Pelodiscus sinensis: one gene and its partner. The protein of the gene in region 1 interacts with the protein of each later gene in a biochemical or structural test. Links are inferred from orthologs where the notes say so. Each region holds a gene or a part of one and is shown on either strand. Other genes may lie near its edges.

Region 1 (7,858 bases):
TCAAATAGAGAACTGAATGTTTTACTTTAAGATGAGGCATGGTATGATGGAATCCCAAGGATCCATAGCATTTGAGAGAGGGTATATTCGCTGAGACTAATAGTTGGTTTGGGAGAGCTGATACTGGCTGGTCAGAATGAAAGTTGGTTTTGGCAGTTGGTGACAGGAGAAGGGCTGGACTTGGTATATTCAATTGCTGGTAGGACTGGCAAGATGATTTAGGCAGTGGTGGGAGAGACATTGAGAATTATTAAATAAGTGCAGTGGCAGAAGCAGGAAATCCTCTGAGGGGGGAGAGACAAGGCAAAGCATTTCAGAAGCACTGTCTCAAAGATTATGTAACCAGCTGAACCTGTGGTAAAGTGGAGACTCGGACTCATCCACATGCTGGCAAGCTCTGGCTGAAGGGACATGGGGGTGGAGAGTGGGTTTGGGCATAAATGATTTGTTTTAGTGTATGTATTAAAGGATAAAATAAAATAGAGGAAATGTATCATGATTAGTGGAACCAAGTCATACAGGTCATGCTCCTTAGAGGGGCTCTTAATAATAGGACACCAGGGAACATGGTAAATCAATAGGGTTGAGCTGGAAGCAACTCAGATTCAGGAATAGAACAGCACACAAGGTTTAATAAAATTCCATGTGTTCAGCTTATGCTGAATACAGCTTCACTCTTTGCAAATGAAACACAGTGGCAGCACTGGAGCTGCTGTGAGGTCTCTGAAGAGCTGCAGTTGGCAGCATAAACCATGGAACTCAATCTGAAATTCCCCAGAAACCTAGATTTTGCAGATTCACAGGTAGCCCAGTGATAAGACAGTTGTGGGCAGAGATAACCATGCAGGAGAATGACAACAGCAGGCAACTAAAACTATTATCATGCCTTTTACTAGGAAATAATGCAGACAGGTATGTATGCACCACTCTGAAGCACACCACTGCCTCAAATATCACAGCAGTCTGAGGAGCTCTGGAGAGTTATTGCTCCCTAAAGCAGAGTGAAACAGTAGGGCTGGACCAGACCCCTCTACCACTGCCTTATGCCCATTAGGAATGTAAGTGAGTAGTCAACTACTCAACTATTCACCTTCCCTTCGCCTTGCTGCCTCTGTATCAGGCCAGTTAAAAGCCGGATCCTCCCAGCACCGTCTCTGCCCCCCTTCCCATGCTTCTTCCTCTATCTGGTGGCAGCCCCTGTTTTTGTGGGTCCCAGTTCCCTGCCAGTACCCCCATGGACAGGGATGCTGGACATGGCATGATCCAGGACTGAGCAAGCCCAGCTCAGTCCTGGCTTGAACTGGGTCCGGCACCTACCTTCATTTTAAATGTAGCAAGAGCCAGGCCAGCTGCAGCAGTCCCGGACTCAGTGCTGGCTTGCGCTGGGTCCAGAACCTACCCTCACTGTGGCTCTGCATTTTAAATGTAGTAAGAGCCAGGCGGGCTCTTACTACATTTAAGATTCAGAGCCTCAGCACGGGTAGCTTCTACATCCAGTGGGCTTATCAGGTAGTTGAGTCCAACTACTCGCTCCTTTTCCTTGCTGCCTCTTTATCAGAAGCAGCAAGGAGGGGAGAAGCAGGAGCTGATGCTGGATACAGCCAGCTTAAAAGCTGGTTCTTCCCAGCACCATCTCCACAGTACAGGGGGAGGGGGAGGGGCAGGGGAAGCAGAGGCATAGTGGTCAGGGACCAGCGTGAACTAGGACTGCTGAGTCCTGGCTTGTGTGGGTCCTAAACCTACACTGCTGTGGCTATGCCTTTTAAACATAGTAAGAGCTGCCTAGCTCTTACCACATTTATAAGGCAGAGGCACAGCAATCATGGACCCCTGCAGCAGTCAGGGACTCAGCAGCCCTGGTGGCAGGCTGCAGTAGGTCTGGGACCTGTCACAAGCTGGGACTCAGCAGACTCAGCTCGTGCCAAGTCCCTGACCTCCAGGCTCTTACTACAGGCAGTCCCCGGGTTACGTACAAGATAGGGACTGTAGGTTTGTTCTTAAGTTGAATCTGTATGTAAGTCGGAACTGGTGTCCAGATTCAGCCGCTGCTGAAACTGACCAGCAGCTGACTACAGGAAGCCCGAGGCAGAGTTGCTCTGCCCCGGGCTTCCTGGAATCAGCCTCTGATCAGTTTCAACAGGCTGAATCTGGACACCAGTTCCGACTTACATACAGATTCAACTTAAGAACTCCAGGCGTCCCCAAGTCAGCTGCTGCTGAAACTGATCAGCGGCTGATTCCAGGAAGCCCAGGGCAGAGCAACTCGGCCTCGGGCTTCCTGTAGTCAGCGCTGGTCAGTTTCAGCAGCGGCTGACTCGGGGACGCCTGGGGCAGAGCAGCTGGGGTGCTGCTGGGTTGCTCCAGTAGCGCCGCTCCTCGGCGTTACTGGACCAACCCAGCAGCACCCCAGCTGCTCTGCCCCAGGCGTCCTGATTCAGCTGCTGCTGAAACTGACCAGCAGCGGCTGAATCAGGACGCCTGGGGCAGAGCAGCTGGGGTGCTGCTGGGTTGGTCCAGTAGCGCCCAGAGCGGCGCTGCGGGACCAACCGGCAGCACCCCAGCTGCTCTACCACAGGCGTACGGAGAAAAGCCTGCTCTGCTGGGGGGAGGCATACTAGCTGCACCCCCCCCCCCCCAGCAGACCAGGGAGATGGGGAGCAAAGCCGGGGAGCACGCGGGCAGCAGACAGCCCAGATGTGCCGTGGCTGTCCCGCTGCCGGCGTCCTCAGAGGCTTTGCTCCCCGTCTCAGGAGACCAGGGAAACGGGCAGCAAACCCCGTTCGTAACTGCGGATCGGATCCGCGTAACTCGGGGACTGCCTGTACATTTAAAAAGCAGAGCTGTAGTGGGGAAGGTCCAGGACCCAGCACAAGCTGGGACTCAGCAGTTTCTACCACATTTAAACTGCAGAGCCACAGCAGGGGGCAGCTCCTGGACCCAGAGACAGGAGAGAATACCTCCCATTATCAACTAATCATGTAGGTGACACAAATTGTATTGACTACACAGTTAGCCAATTACCTACTTCTTAACATCCTTATAGAAAACTATAAACTTTTCTATAGCAATACAGGGACAAGACGATAGAATTAAACCAAAATAAAATGTAATTTAAATAACATGAGATGACATACTTTGTACATCAGCTCACAGCAGGGGGACTGAGAGCTGATCACAACATGCTTAAAGCAGCTACATGACAGTTCCAGTTGTTGTGAGAGAGGTGTAGCACTTCTTAAGCATGATAAATGTCCATCCAAGTTTTGTCCACATCTGGCTGCACTAGCAGAATCTATAAATCATCTCACAAGGCACGATATTGAGTGGGACTACATGGGATCCCAAGAGCAAGCATTTGATTTAAGTACTACCACCGTGGTGAGCTACTGACACTCCAATGTGATGCATCAGAGAGGACTGGGTGTAGCTCTTTTGCAGAAGCAATCAGTCACATATGCTAATAGAGTGCTGTCAGAGGCAATACAGGGGTATGTTTAAACAGAAAAAGAGCTTCTGGCTGTGGTATTTGGAGTGGAACAATTGCATCTGTACTCCTAATAGTGCAATGAGGACACAAACCCCTAGACACAATTATGACAAAGCCCCTTTTTAAAAAGTGCTCCAAAGAAATGGCAACGCATGCTGATATGCCTTTAATAACACTAGAAAGCAAAGATCAGATATTGTTTGAATGATGACTGGCATTAGTTGATACCATTAGCTGGGCCCATATATCCAGCATCAGTGGAAAGGGAATCAGGACACTGAATTTATGAACATATTGTGATATCTTCAATTTCAAAAGTGAAGTAGATGGAGACCCAGAGGCTAAGAAAAAGAACACCCACCTACAAGCAATCAAGAGAGCAATACTAGCAGGATGGCCAGAAAACAAGACAAGCAGCACTAGTTTCAGAACCCTATTTTCAAGTTAAAGATGAGCTGAGTATGCAGTATGGAATCCTATTTCAAGGGTAGAGAGCTACTGTTCCCACTGCATTATGTAAGGATGTGGCACACAAGACATACCACTCCCTAGGCTCCAATGTTTGCTCGAATCTGTTCAATGCAGGTGCAGATTTTTCCCATCCGTGTGCAAAATACAATTTTATGCGCACCCAGGCATGTGCAAATGTGCACCACCAACAGGCACTCTGCTGGGCAGCCACACAGGCAGGGCTTACGGAGAGCACTGCTGGGCACTGACCACTGGCTCAAGCGTGTTTAATGTCCACTAGCGGATTAATACTCACGCAGCTCGGCTCCCTGAGACAAGGGCAGGACGCCCAGCAGTCATGCAGTAACCCCTCCTCCCGCCAAGAAAGCCAGTTACCACACGAGTCCCCCTCCCCCCATGGGCCAAGGGCGGGGCAGAGCAGTACCTGAGTACAGTGGATTCCTACTCAGCTTATGGGGCGGGGCCTAGCCCCTGACTGACACGAGAGCCATGTCAGGGATTGACCAACGGCCGGCCCCAACGCCAGGGGCGGCATCCCGGGCTGCCTCAGCAGAACACAACCCCAAGGCGCGGGGACGCCCCCGTCTGGCGACGCAGCCCAAGGGCCCTGACAAGCGCAGGCCTCAGCCCATTGGCAGGCGGGCATCCGTCACCTGACGCTGAATGGCTCCCTGCAGCAGCGCAGCTGGCACACCGACCACGTGCCCTTCTTGGCTCCGCCCCCCTCTTTTCTGCGGCGGTTCTGAAGTTACCGCAGTCCCCGCTTGCCCCGCCCCTCCCATGCTTATAACGCCTGGTTCCCTCACCACTCCTCCTCCTGCCGTGTGCGCGCGAGCGAGACCACCCTCCGTTCCGGGCGCGCGCCCCTCAGCCTCCTCACAGCGGCGGCGAGCGGGCCTTGGGCCGGACGGCTGCGGGTTCCTGGGAGCGCAGCCGCCGCGCGGGCACCCGAGGCGACCGCGTTCCCCTCTTCCCTAGCGGTTCCCAGCACCGAGAACATGGCGGCGGTATCGGGTGCCGGGGCTGCGGGCGGCTCGGCCAACCCCGGGACTCCGGAGATGGTGCGGGGCCAGGCGTTCGATGTGGGGCCCCGCTACACCAACCTCTCCTACATCGGGGAGGGCGCCTACGGCATGGTCTGGTGAGTACCGGCCGGGGGGCAGAGCCCTGCCTGGCCCACAGCCTCTCCCGGGCTGGGCAACAGCCCGCGGCCCCAGCCTCCTTGCTCTCCTGCGGGCAGGGGACCGGGACTAAAGTGTCTCTTCCTTTCCCAGTCTCCTGTAGCTGCGTCTTACCTCCGCTTGCTGCCAAATCTCCTGCCCTCTTCTCTGCCTCCTCGCTCCAGGGGCTGCCCCTTCCTCTTCCAGTCCTGGCTCGAGTTCTGCTTAACTATTCTTGTCCGTTTACACTGTCTCTTGGATTGGTTTTGTCTTTTTTTTTTTAATTCTTGGCAGTATGATATATATTATAATGGAGAAGGAAGCCAAAATAATGGCCATGACTGACGGAGTACAAAGCTCACCTTATGTGCCAGGACCACACTGGGTAAAACTAAAAAGAGACTTTATTATTCTTATTACCTCCATTATCTATCTTGTTTGGTTGTGATTTGGCATCTTTCCCCCCAGTAAGGACAAGAAACCTCATATATTGGTGAAAATACTTTTCAAGGTTGAAACGCTTGTGTATCAGTTTCAGAGGTGTAGCTGTGTTAGTCTGTAACTAAATAAACTTAAAACAGTTTTGCAGCACCTTAAAGACTAACAGAAATTTAGAGGTATCATGAGCTTTCGTGGGCATCAGCTTGTGCCCATGAAAGCTCATGATACCATGTACATTTTTGTTAGTCTCTAAGGTGCTGCAAGATTATTTGTATTTATGTTGTATCCCAGAGACATTTCAGTGAAACACCGCCATTTATGCAGAGTGAATGTGTGTGTGCAACTATTTTGACATAACTGTTTGAATCAGGCTATCAGAATGATGGAGAAATGCACATATGTATTTGAGCAAGTTAAGATGTTTATTACCAGCTAATAGTATGCTGAGATTGAGTTGAGCTGGTGTATATGTTGTACGTGGGTAGAAGGATGCGCGAATGTCACTGACATGCTCTCGTGTTTTTCCTTAAATTATTTATCCCATTTGTCTGTCTTTCTGTGAAATGGATTAAAGAATTAATTTCCTAAATTCATCTGCACTCTTGAGAGCAAACAAATAACTTTTCTCCAAAACCTTTGCTGTTTTCCCTTCAAAATGCACAGTGTCTTTCTATAATGTATGCTTTTAAAAACTATGTATGCTTTTTCAAATAGGTTTGATTTGTTACTTGTTTCTTTACAGCATAAACTTTCATTCAGAGGTTGTATTATGATGACTTCTTGATGACTGAATGAGAGGCTTGTATTCCGGAATGTAAACTGTCATTTAGGCCTGGATTCACCAAGGAACTAAATGTGTGTTTACATGCTTTTACTTGATGATGATGTTAGCCCTTTTAGTTATTGTGATAACTTTCAGTATGTTTTGATGACCTGTTTATATTTGTCTGTATAGTTTACACCAGTGAAGCTGCAGTGAATATAACATGTATTAAGTGTACAGATTTGAATGTAAGACCTGTTAGTGCAGTTTACTTTAGAAACCAAGATAAGCCTCACCAGTGCAAGTTTGTTTTATACCTGTTCAACACATCTACATGGAGAGGTTAGCACCTGTATACTGTACAGTAGAAATACCCTTGCTGTAGATAGATTCTAATTGTGCATTTCTCTGAAGCTAGAGAGCCTCAAATCGTACTTCTCTGAAGTATAATCTGCTCCACTTACCTCAGTGGAATGCTAACAATGATATTGGTTTGGACTCCAGCAGGGAGAGGAGGAAGCAGCTCTGTGTGCTGCCATTCTCCCCTCCCTCACATCTAAGGAAACAGCAACATAGCAAAGTGCTGGTCTGGAGGTGAGGCAGCAGAGATTGGTATTAAGGATGCAAACATGTACATGGTTATCAATGACCTTGGACTAATCTGTTGTGCATGGTTACACGCAGTTCTCCCACCATCTGAGGCAACAGCAAGGGGGTGAGATGGGAGCAAGGGGTGGGGTCAGATGGCTCTGCTCCTATGTGTAAGCCCTGAATTTCAACAATTACATGTTTATGTAAACCCACTTTAACATCCCCAGTTAGTATTTTGGGGCATGGAGCCGCATATGCTCCCATAGCAGGGTGCCAGAAATACCCCACTCCCATCAACCTCATGTCCAGACCCTGCATCCCTATTCCCTTCATGCATGCTCCCTTCTTCCCAGAATCCACTGCAGCACCCTCTGTGGTTTGAAAACTTTACCCTATTTCCCAGGGTTGCTGGATTAAAGAGGCTTAAATGGAATTCACTACTGAGCAAAGGCTGCAATAAATGTTATGAAGGATACATAGTTTGTTGTCAATAACATCCTATTTTGGCTTCACAGGTGAATGGAGCATGGTTTGTGGGCAGGATGAGAACATATCATCTCCCCCCCCCCCCCCCCACACACACCTGATCTCTTGTGGCTTGAGATAAAACATTACGTTTTCAATTTTTTCTCAAAGTCTGTGTTAGCCTCTTATCTTAAACTAAACACATGAATATATTTTATATAAATTAATGACAGGAGTTTTTGGTCTAAGGTAAGTTTCATGTCCTTTCACATCAAAGGTTATATTGAACAGCAATCACTAAGGAATTAAAACCTAATATAGTGAATCCTTAAACTTAACTCCATTAGAGGACTACAGCAGCTCAAGAAACCTTGGAGCATTTGAATTAGCAGGATTTAACAAACATTACACATTTGTATTGCATATTAGATAAGGAAAGTATTAGATTGCATGTGTAATAACTAATATTGGTTAGCATGT
Region 2 (7,359 bases), on another chromosome or scaffold:
CCCAATATAGGATTATTTCCAACAGATACAGTTCTTACCATCTTTTTGAACTGAGAAATTATTTGTCTGTCAGCCAGTGATGGCACGTCTACACAGCAGGACTGAAGCTGAAATAAGCTATGCAACGTGAGCTACGTCAATTGCGTAGCTTAAATCAAAATAGCTTATTTTGGCTTTTGGTGCTGTCTACACAGAAAGAAGTCTAAGACAGAGCACTCTTCCTCCAACTTCCCTTACTCCTCATAAAATGAGGGTTACAGGAGTCGGAATAAGAAGTCCTCCAGCTCAAAGTTATTTTGACATTATGTCGAAATAACTGCTTGCTCCGTAGACACGGACTCTGTTATTTCAGAATAATGTCAGTGTCATGGGGTGTGCATGCCTCACACTGGAGCAGAGGGAGTGAAAACCCTGTGGGCGGAAGAAGCCTCACCCCTTCAACCAGACTGGGCATACTCCAAGTGCTGGGGCAGCATAAAAAGCAAGAGAGCATCTCAGTCTGGGCTGGACAGCAAAGGAGAAGAACCTCCGGTCAGAGCTCCCAAGTTGCAGAAGCCAGCGAGAACCAGAGTCCCGGGAGATGGCTGCTACGCACCCCCCTCGGAATCCCAGGGAGAAACTGCTACCGGGGAACTGGGAGACTCAGCCGCTACATGGGAGGTTGACCTGCCAGAATCAGTAAGAAGTGACCCAGAAAGGATAAAGGAGCAGCCTTTCACAACCAGGTATACTTGGCGTGTTTCGGCTGGATTCCCCACTGAGGGAGTGGTAGACCATTCTGCTGCTCACAGGAGCCTGGGTTGGGACCCCATGGAGCAGTGTAGGCCTGGGACCCCCTACCGGGATGCTTGCTTCAACCCTACTGACTATGGCCATTAAGTCCTACTGCTCTGTAGCAAGTACTACTTACTGACTCTGTGCTGCCCTGAGACAAGGGCTATTTACTGACTCTGGCCATTGGACCATACTACCCTGCGACAAAGGCTACTTACTGACTCTGGCCACTAGGCCACACTACTCCAGAGAGAAGGCTGACGACAGACTCTGACTGGTAGACTGTACTGCCCTGAGAGAAGGACAGCACTATTGACCTTGGACACTAAGCTCAACTTTCATAGACCACAAGGGGGTATTTATGGACTACAGAGACAGCTAATGACCCTGTGGGCAATCAGGAGGTGTCCACACCCCTGAATATCTTCACTCCTATGATGGGATGTGCATATGTCACCATAGTCTGTTATTCCAAAATAATGCTGCTGTGTAGACATAGCCTAAGAGCTTTAAGTAAGAAAGGGAGGAGGGGGAGTTTTTAAAAGAAAGGAGAAGTGTTAGAAGAGCAATGGTAAAGCAGAGTCAAGAGGGCACTATCAGTCTCCAGGTGAGTTACCACTCAATTGTCTGAGTTTTCTATCATGTGGCGGTGCAAACACAAAAGAGAGATGGCTATGGAACATGTTCACTTTCCCTTCAGCTATAGCCCATCTAAGCACTTGTAGACTGAATGTGAATGAGCTGTCTATGAGCATATTTTCACAACCAAACCTACCATGTCAGAGGATCCAGTTATCATGAGGTGTTACACTTTGCTTGTATAGGCATGACCAAAAGCTGTTATGTTATATAATTCATTTTCTCTCTCATCTTTACTTTGTGCAGACAGTATTGCCTACTTTATGTATTCAGAAGCATAGAAGATTCTTAACTGCATGTTGTTTCTATGTGTAACTGTGTTTGAGATTAACTGTGTTGAAAACTATGCTGAATTCATATTATTTTAGGTATTGAGAAAAAGATGAGCCTTCAGCTTGCCAAAATTTACCATATTCCCATATAGAACTTTATCTGTGTATAACAGCCACACTCTTTCAATTGTTGCAAGACAACAACTTGAGGATCTAGGCCAAAGACTTCAGTTTCATAATCAGTCTTGGATGTTACCACTTACAATTTAGGGGAAATGTGCACATAGAAAACGATTAACTTCATATTAGTCTATAGTACCGCAGATTTTAAATTAAATTAACTCATTGGAGCGCAATAGTTTGAGAGTTCCTTGATTGCAGTGCTTTTCTTCAACACAAACAGGTTTTCTGCAGAATGAATACCTGCAGGATATGACGCAATGGCAATCTTATTTCTTCAATATATTTCATGCTTTGTACATTCATGCTTAATGATACTCATTAAATGCAAAATAATTTAAACCTAAACAAGTAGACAAATATTGATGTTCCCCTGGTACAGAATATATTTCTAATTTTGAGAAGTCCATTAGTTTCAGTGTTTCCTTTCAAAGTACAAAAACTCATTCATCTAATCTAATACCTTCAATACTTACTTCATTTTCAGTTTCTTTTAATTGATTTCCTATATATGCTTAGCTATTAGAACGACTTGCTTTTAACTATCTCTTGTTGCTTAATAAGTTTAAATTGATGGTTTAAAATTCTTCTCTAAGTTTGTATGTTCTGTGACTATTTTGTCTGTTCCATGTGTCTAAATCTTCTCTCTGTCCCTGTTTTAACTATCAAGTATGGTCTTGGTAGCGGGATTACTATAAGGTGGTTGCATAACTGTCTGGAACCCCATTGTCAGAGTTTAGTTATTAATGATTTTAAGTCATGCAGGAAGGGCACAAGTGGGGTTCCACAGGGATCTGTTCTGAGACCAGTTCTGCTCAATATCTTCATCAACAATTTAGATGGTGGCATAGAGAGTATGCTTATTAAGTTTGCAGATGATACCAAGTTGAGAGGGGTTGCTTTGGAGGATAGGGTCATAATTCAAAATGATCTGGATAAATTGGAGAAATGGTTGGAGGTAAATAGGATGAAGTTTAATAAGGACAAATGCAAAGTACTCTACTCAGGAACGAACAATCAGTTTCACACATACAGAATGGGAAGTGACTGTCTGAAGGAGTACGGCAGAAAGGCATCTAGGGGTCATAGTGGACCACAAGCTAAATATGAGTCCACAATGTGATACTGTTGCAAAAAAAGCAAACATGATTCTAGGATGCATTAACAGGAGTGTTGTGAACAAGACACGAGAAGTCATTCTTCTGCTCTACTCTGCATTGATTAGGCCTCAGTTGGAGTATTGTGTCCAGTTCTGGTCACCACATTTCAAGAAAGATGTGGAGAAATTGGAGGTCCAGAGAAGAGCAACAAAAATGATTAACAGTCTAGAGAACATGAGCTATGACGGAAAGTTGAAAGAATTGGGCTTCTTTAGTTTGGAAAAGAGAAGCCGGACAGGGGACATGATATTTTCATGTATCTAAAAGGGCGTCATGGGAGAGGGGGAATCATTCTGTTTTGCTTCTGAGGATAGAACTAGAAGCAATGGTCTTAAACAGCAGCAAGTGAGGTTTAGGTTGGACATTAGGAAAAATTTCCTGTTAGGGTGGTTAAATACTGGAATAAATTGCATAGGGAAGTTGTGGAATCTCCCATCCCTGAAGATTTTTAAGAGCAGGTGAGACAGACATCTCTCAGGGGTGATCTAGATGGTACATGGTCCTGCCAGAAGGGCAGGGGACTGGACTTGATGATCTCTTGAGGTCCCTTCCAGTTCTAGTTTGGCTAAAATCAAGTGTAGTATCCTCAACCTGTCCTTTTGGACACACTACCCTGGTGCGCTATGACTGAATTATTTTTGGAGTAGGGAGCTGGATTTGCCCAGCCCTATGCATCAATCTGGTATTACAGTACCTCCAGGACTGGTGCACTACCATTCACTTGCTATACTACTACACAGTAATGTGTTCTCTCAAAACATTTGCTTGCTATTTTCATTCTATGATTCTAAAACAACAAGGAGTCTAGGGGCACTTCAAAGACTACCATGCTACCATGTTTTTAGGGTATTAGAACATAAGCTGTCATGAGCTTGAACTCACTTCCTCAGATGCTGAAAAGAAAAAATAACAACACAAGGGGAGGGAAGAAGGTACAGAGCTGGGAGTGCTAATTAAATCAGAATGGATAGGGCTAATCTCCAAGTGTGGTGAGGAGGTGCGTGTACTTGAATGGGAAACTATCTATTGTAATGCGAGTACAACTCTGGTGGAGGGGAGTTACCTCCAAACGAGGAGCTTGTATTCCCCACATTCTTAATACAACCCTCTCCCCTTTTCTCCGGCTATGGGATACGTTTTGCCGAGTGGAGGGAGATCTTCTCAGTACAGTGCAGGCGCGGGGGTGAAAATGTTTGCTTCTCAGCTGGAGTCCCATCGCCCCCGGCATCTGCGCCAGGCAAGGTAGGTGAGGCTCTCACTGGCCTCGCTACCGCCGCGGAGAGAGAAGCTCCCCAACTGCACGGAGCTTTCCGCGCTCTGGGGGAGCCGGGCAAGGACACACCGGTCAGAGTCTCGGGATAAGCCCCCCAGTCCGGCGGGCAGGAACCGGCCCCTTGATCTCCGAGGAGTGAAGGAGGCGGGGTCGCCTGCCGGGTCCTGCACCATCCAGCCCCCCCGCCAGGTGCTGGCTCCTCCGGCCCAGCCCCTTTCCCCAGGCAGGAGCCAGCCCGCCCAGCGTAGGTACGGCCAGGTCCTGCCACCACCTGCCCGCGGGCGGCGTCGAGCGACCGCTCCCAGCCTCACCTTCTCAACGCCCGTCCCGCCTGCGCTCAGTTCCCACCCCTCGTACGCCTTTGGCGCAGCCCACGCCGCTGCCGCAGCGGCCGGAGCGCGGCTCATCCCCCGCCTCCCTGCTCCGGAGCCCGATGTGACCCGCCAGAGAAAATGGCGGCGGCGGCGGGGACTCGCACCTCGTCGTCGGGATTATCCTCGGGCACCAGCGCGGACGCCGCCGCCGCCGCCTCCGGGAGCCTGCAGAGCGGCAGCGGCGCGGGCAGCTTGCCCGGCAGCGGCGGGGGGCTCCTGCGGGAGGCGGGCGGCGGCGGCTGCCGGGAGCAGCGCTCAGACTGGAGACGGAAGCAGCTGCGCAAAGTGCGGAGCGTGGAGCTGGACCGGCTGCCCGAGGCGCCCCTCTTCCTCGCCGGCTCGCCGGAGTCCCCCGAACCGCCGCCGCGCTGCCTCGCCGGGGGCTCCGGCCCCTCCAGCCCCGCGTCTTCCCCCGGCCGCTGCGCCGCGCCCCACGAGCCGCTGCCGGACGGGAGCCCCGTGGGAGCCGACCCCGCCGCCGAGAGAAGGATGGAGCCGTCTCCCCCTGCCGGGTGAGCGGCGCGGGGCTGGAGCGGGCGGCGGTGAGGACCCCGGCGCCTCACACGGGGCAGCCCGCGCAGGTGTTGGAGGTGGGGGGCCCGGCGCTGCTGGCGGCGTGGGATAGTGCGCGCCCGGAGCCTGGCCCCTGCCCCTCCTCGAGCTTTCGGGTCCCCCTCTCGGTGGAGACCCAGCCCCGGGAGCCTGGCGCTGCGCCCATGGGCAGGTAGCGGGGACGTGCTTTTCGGGCCCGGATTTGCTTGCAGGGGCGCTGGGATATGCGTGGGGGACGGTGTTATGGGGCAGAGGGGGTGGCTGGTGTGAGATCGCCCCCGACAGGCCCCCCGTGTTTGTGGGGAGCTGTCATCTGTAAGAGAAGGGGGGGGAGTAGGGGACTGGCCAGTAGCTTGTTGTGTTCAGTGCCTCGTTGACTTATGCGGCAGGCGCTGCAGGATAAAAGAGCTAGGATTGTATTTCCCAGGACTGTGTAGCCTGTGCATCAACTTCTCATTTGTGTTACCTTTGCCCTGCCAACCCGTTTGTGTGTGCTGCTTTCTGGAAGTCGTGACTCTTAGTTAAATGGGAATCGCAGCTGTTGGGGGGTGAGGGGAGTGATTTATTTCTGCCTGAGCTCCGAGAGGCTTTGAAGTTTGAATTTGCCCTGGTGGTTGAGGACCCAGGACCGGATGTGTCAGCCATTCAGTTTCAGTGCAGTTAAACCCGTTAACTCTTCCAAGCAGTGCAGCAGAGTGCATTTGATTTTTTTTTTCCTGCTAAAGCATCCTTCCCCCCGGATTCACCTCACCTCCCCACAAAAAAAGTGTGTCTGCTTTTCATAATCTATATAGTACTTATTCTAAACTACTTAGATTTTACATTTGCCTTTGCTTTCCCATCGGTATAGTTAAACATTAATAAAAATGAATCCTTTCTTCTGTGGCTTGTTTCACTTGAAGTTGTGGAACTGTTTTGGTTTTGCTGAATAAAAGACAGTTTACAAACATGAAATATCTACTCTGCAAAAGTGTAGAAAGTATAATGTGTTTGCAGTAATTATACTGGAGACTGCATATTGTGTAAGATGAGACGTGGTATCTTTATAGTGTTAGTCCTATTCTGTATTTTATTTGATAATACTTGAGATTTTATAGAGCTTTCCAATTTTATAGTTATTGTGATGCAATCCGGGGCACAAGTTCAATAACTAGGATACATTCAATATGTATCTTACACACGCAAAGGCATTCAGAATTGAAGCTACCATGAGCATATTTTAAAATGCTTTCTCATGTACTTCTGAATACGTTGTACTTAATACTTTTAACGTACACTTGCTAGCATTTAGTATGTGCATAGGTGAGAGTAATGGTGGAGATAGAGCTTGTAATCTTTATATAGATTTAACAATTACTGTAGTTTCATAAGGATTTTTATATGAGACTTCATGTGTAAATAGTGAATTGCAGCGCTTGGCGGTGAAGACTGAGTGTTGATAGGTTTACTTCTAAAGTTATTTTACAGAGAAAAAGAGCTTTTAGTTGGCTACTCAACTCACAACAAAGAAATCTGTCTTTCCCATTTGTGGTAGAAGGACATTCAAAAAAAGATTTCCATTCTAGAGAATGCTTTACTAATATGGCAATCTAAAATCAGCAATTGTTTGGGTATCTAGATGTATTCTGTGCAATATTTGTGGACTTTCACATTGCTGTAAATATAAACCAGTTACTTGACAGTAGTATGATACCAGCAGATGAAGCACCAGTGTAGTTATAGAAAGATTAATAGGAAATCTATGTTCATGAAGTTACTTCAAGGAAAAGATGATGTACAAAAGTTGGCAGTTGACTTGTTTTTATTTGATTTTGTATGATTATCTCTAGAGTTTTGACAAGGTATGAAACTAAAATATACTTTACTTCATTGTTACCTCATATATAGGTGTTACCATTGTAGCAATTAAATAATTCTGTACCACATAAGAGAAAAATAACTAGCATAAACAACATCAAAACATGCCTTTAAAACAGTAAAAGTTGCTTACAGTTTTCAGTGGGACTTATTGCTAGTTGTTATGGGTTCAGGAAGGTCAACATTTGTCACATCAGGCAATCACAGCTAAAATATTGACTCCATTCTTGCTTGCCAATTCCATGGATTTAAAAAAAATTCCTTAAGTTAGTTCCTGT

What was found. The genes of interacting proteins can lie anywhere in the genome.
Region 2: of the proteins of MAPK1 (region 1) and MAP3K1, one has a biochemical effect on the other in vitro, tested with the Homo sapiens proteins (3 studies listed by BioGRID). The link is inferred for Pelodiscus sinensis from reciprocal best matches to the Homo sapiens genes MAPK1 and MAP3K1.

What each region holds. Positions count from the first base shown.
Region 1 is NC_134725.1:17,137,240-17,145,097, forward strand, and holds the start of MAPK1 (mitogen-activated protein kinase 1), read left to right. Parts: upstream 1-4,719; 5' UTR 4,720-4,956; coding exon 4,957-5,099; intron 5,100-7,858. UniProt on the Homo sapiens protein: Serine/threonine kinase which acts as an essential component of the MAP kinase signal transduction pathway. MAPK1/ERK2 and MAPK3/ERK1 are the 2 MAPKs which play an important role in the MAPK/ERK cascade.
Region 2 is NC_134716.1:95,999,370-96,006,728, reverse strand, and holds the start of MAP3K1 (mitogen-activated protein kinase kinase kinase 1), read left to right. Parts: upstream 1-4,322; 5' UTR 4,323-4,750; coding exon 4,751-5,184; intron 5,185-5,373; exon of another isoform or gene 5,374-5,388; coding exon of another isoform or gene 5,389-5,396; intron 5,397-5,517; exon of another isoform or gene 5,518-5,856; coding exon of another isoform or gene 5,857-5,990; intron 5,991-7,359. UniProt on the Homo sapiens protein: Component of a protein kinase signal transduction cascade. Activates the ERK and JNK kinase pathways by phosphorylation of MAP2K1 and MAP2K4. May phosphorylate the MAPK8/JNK1 kinase.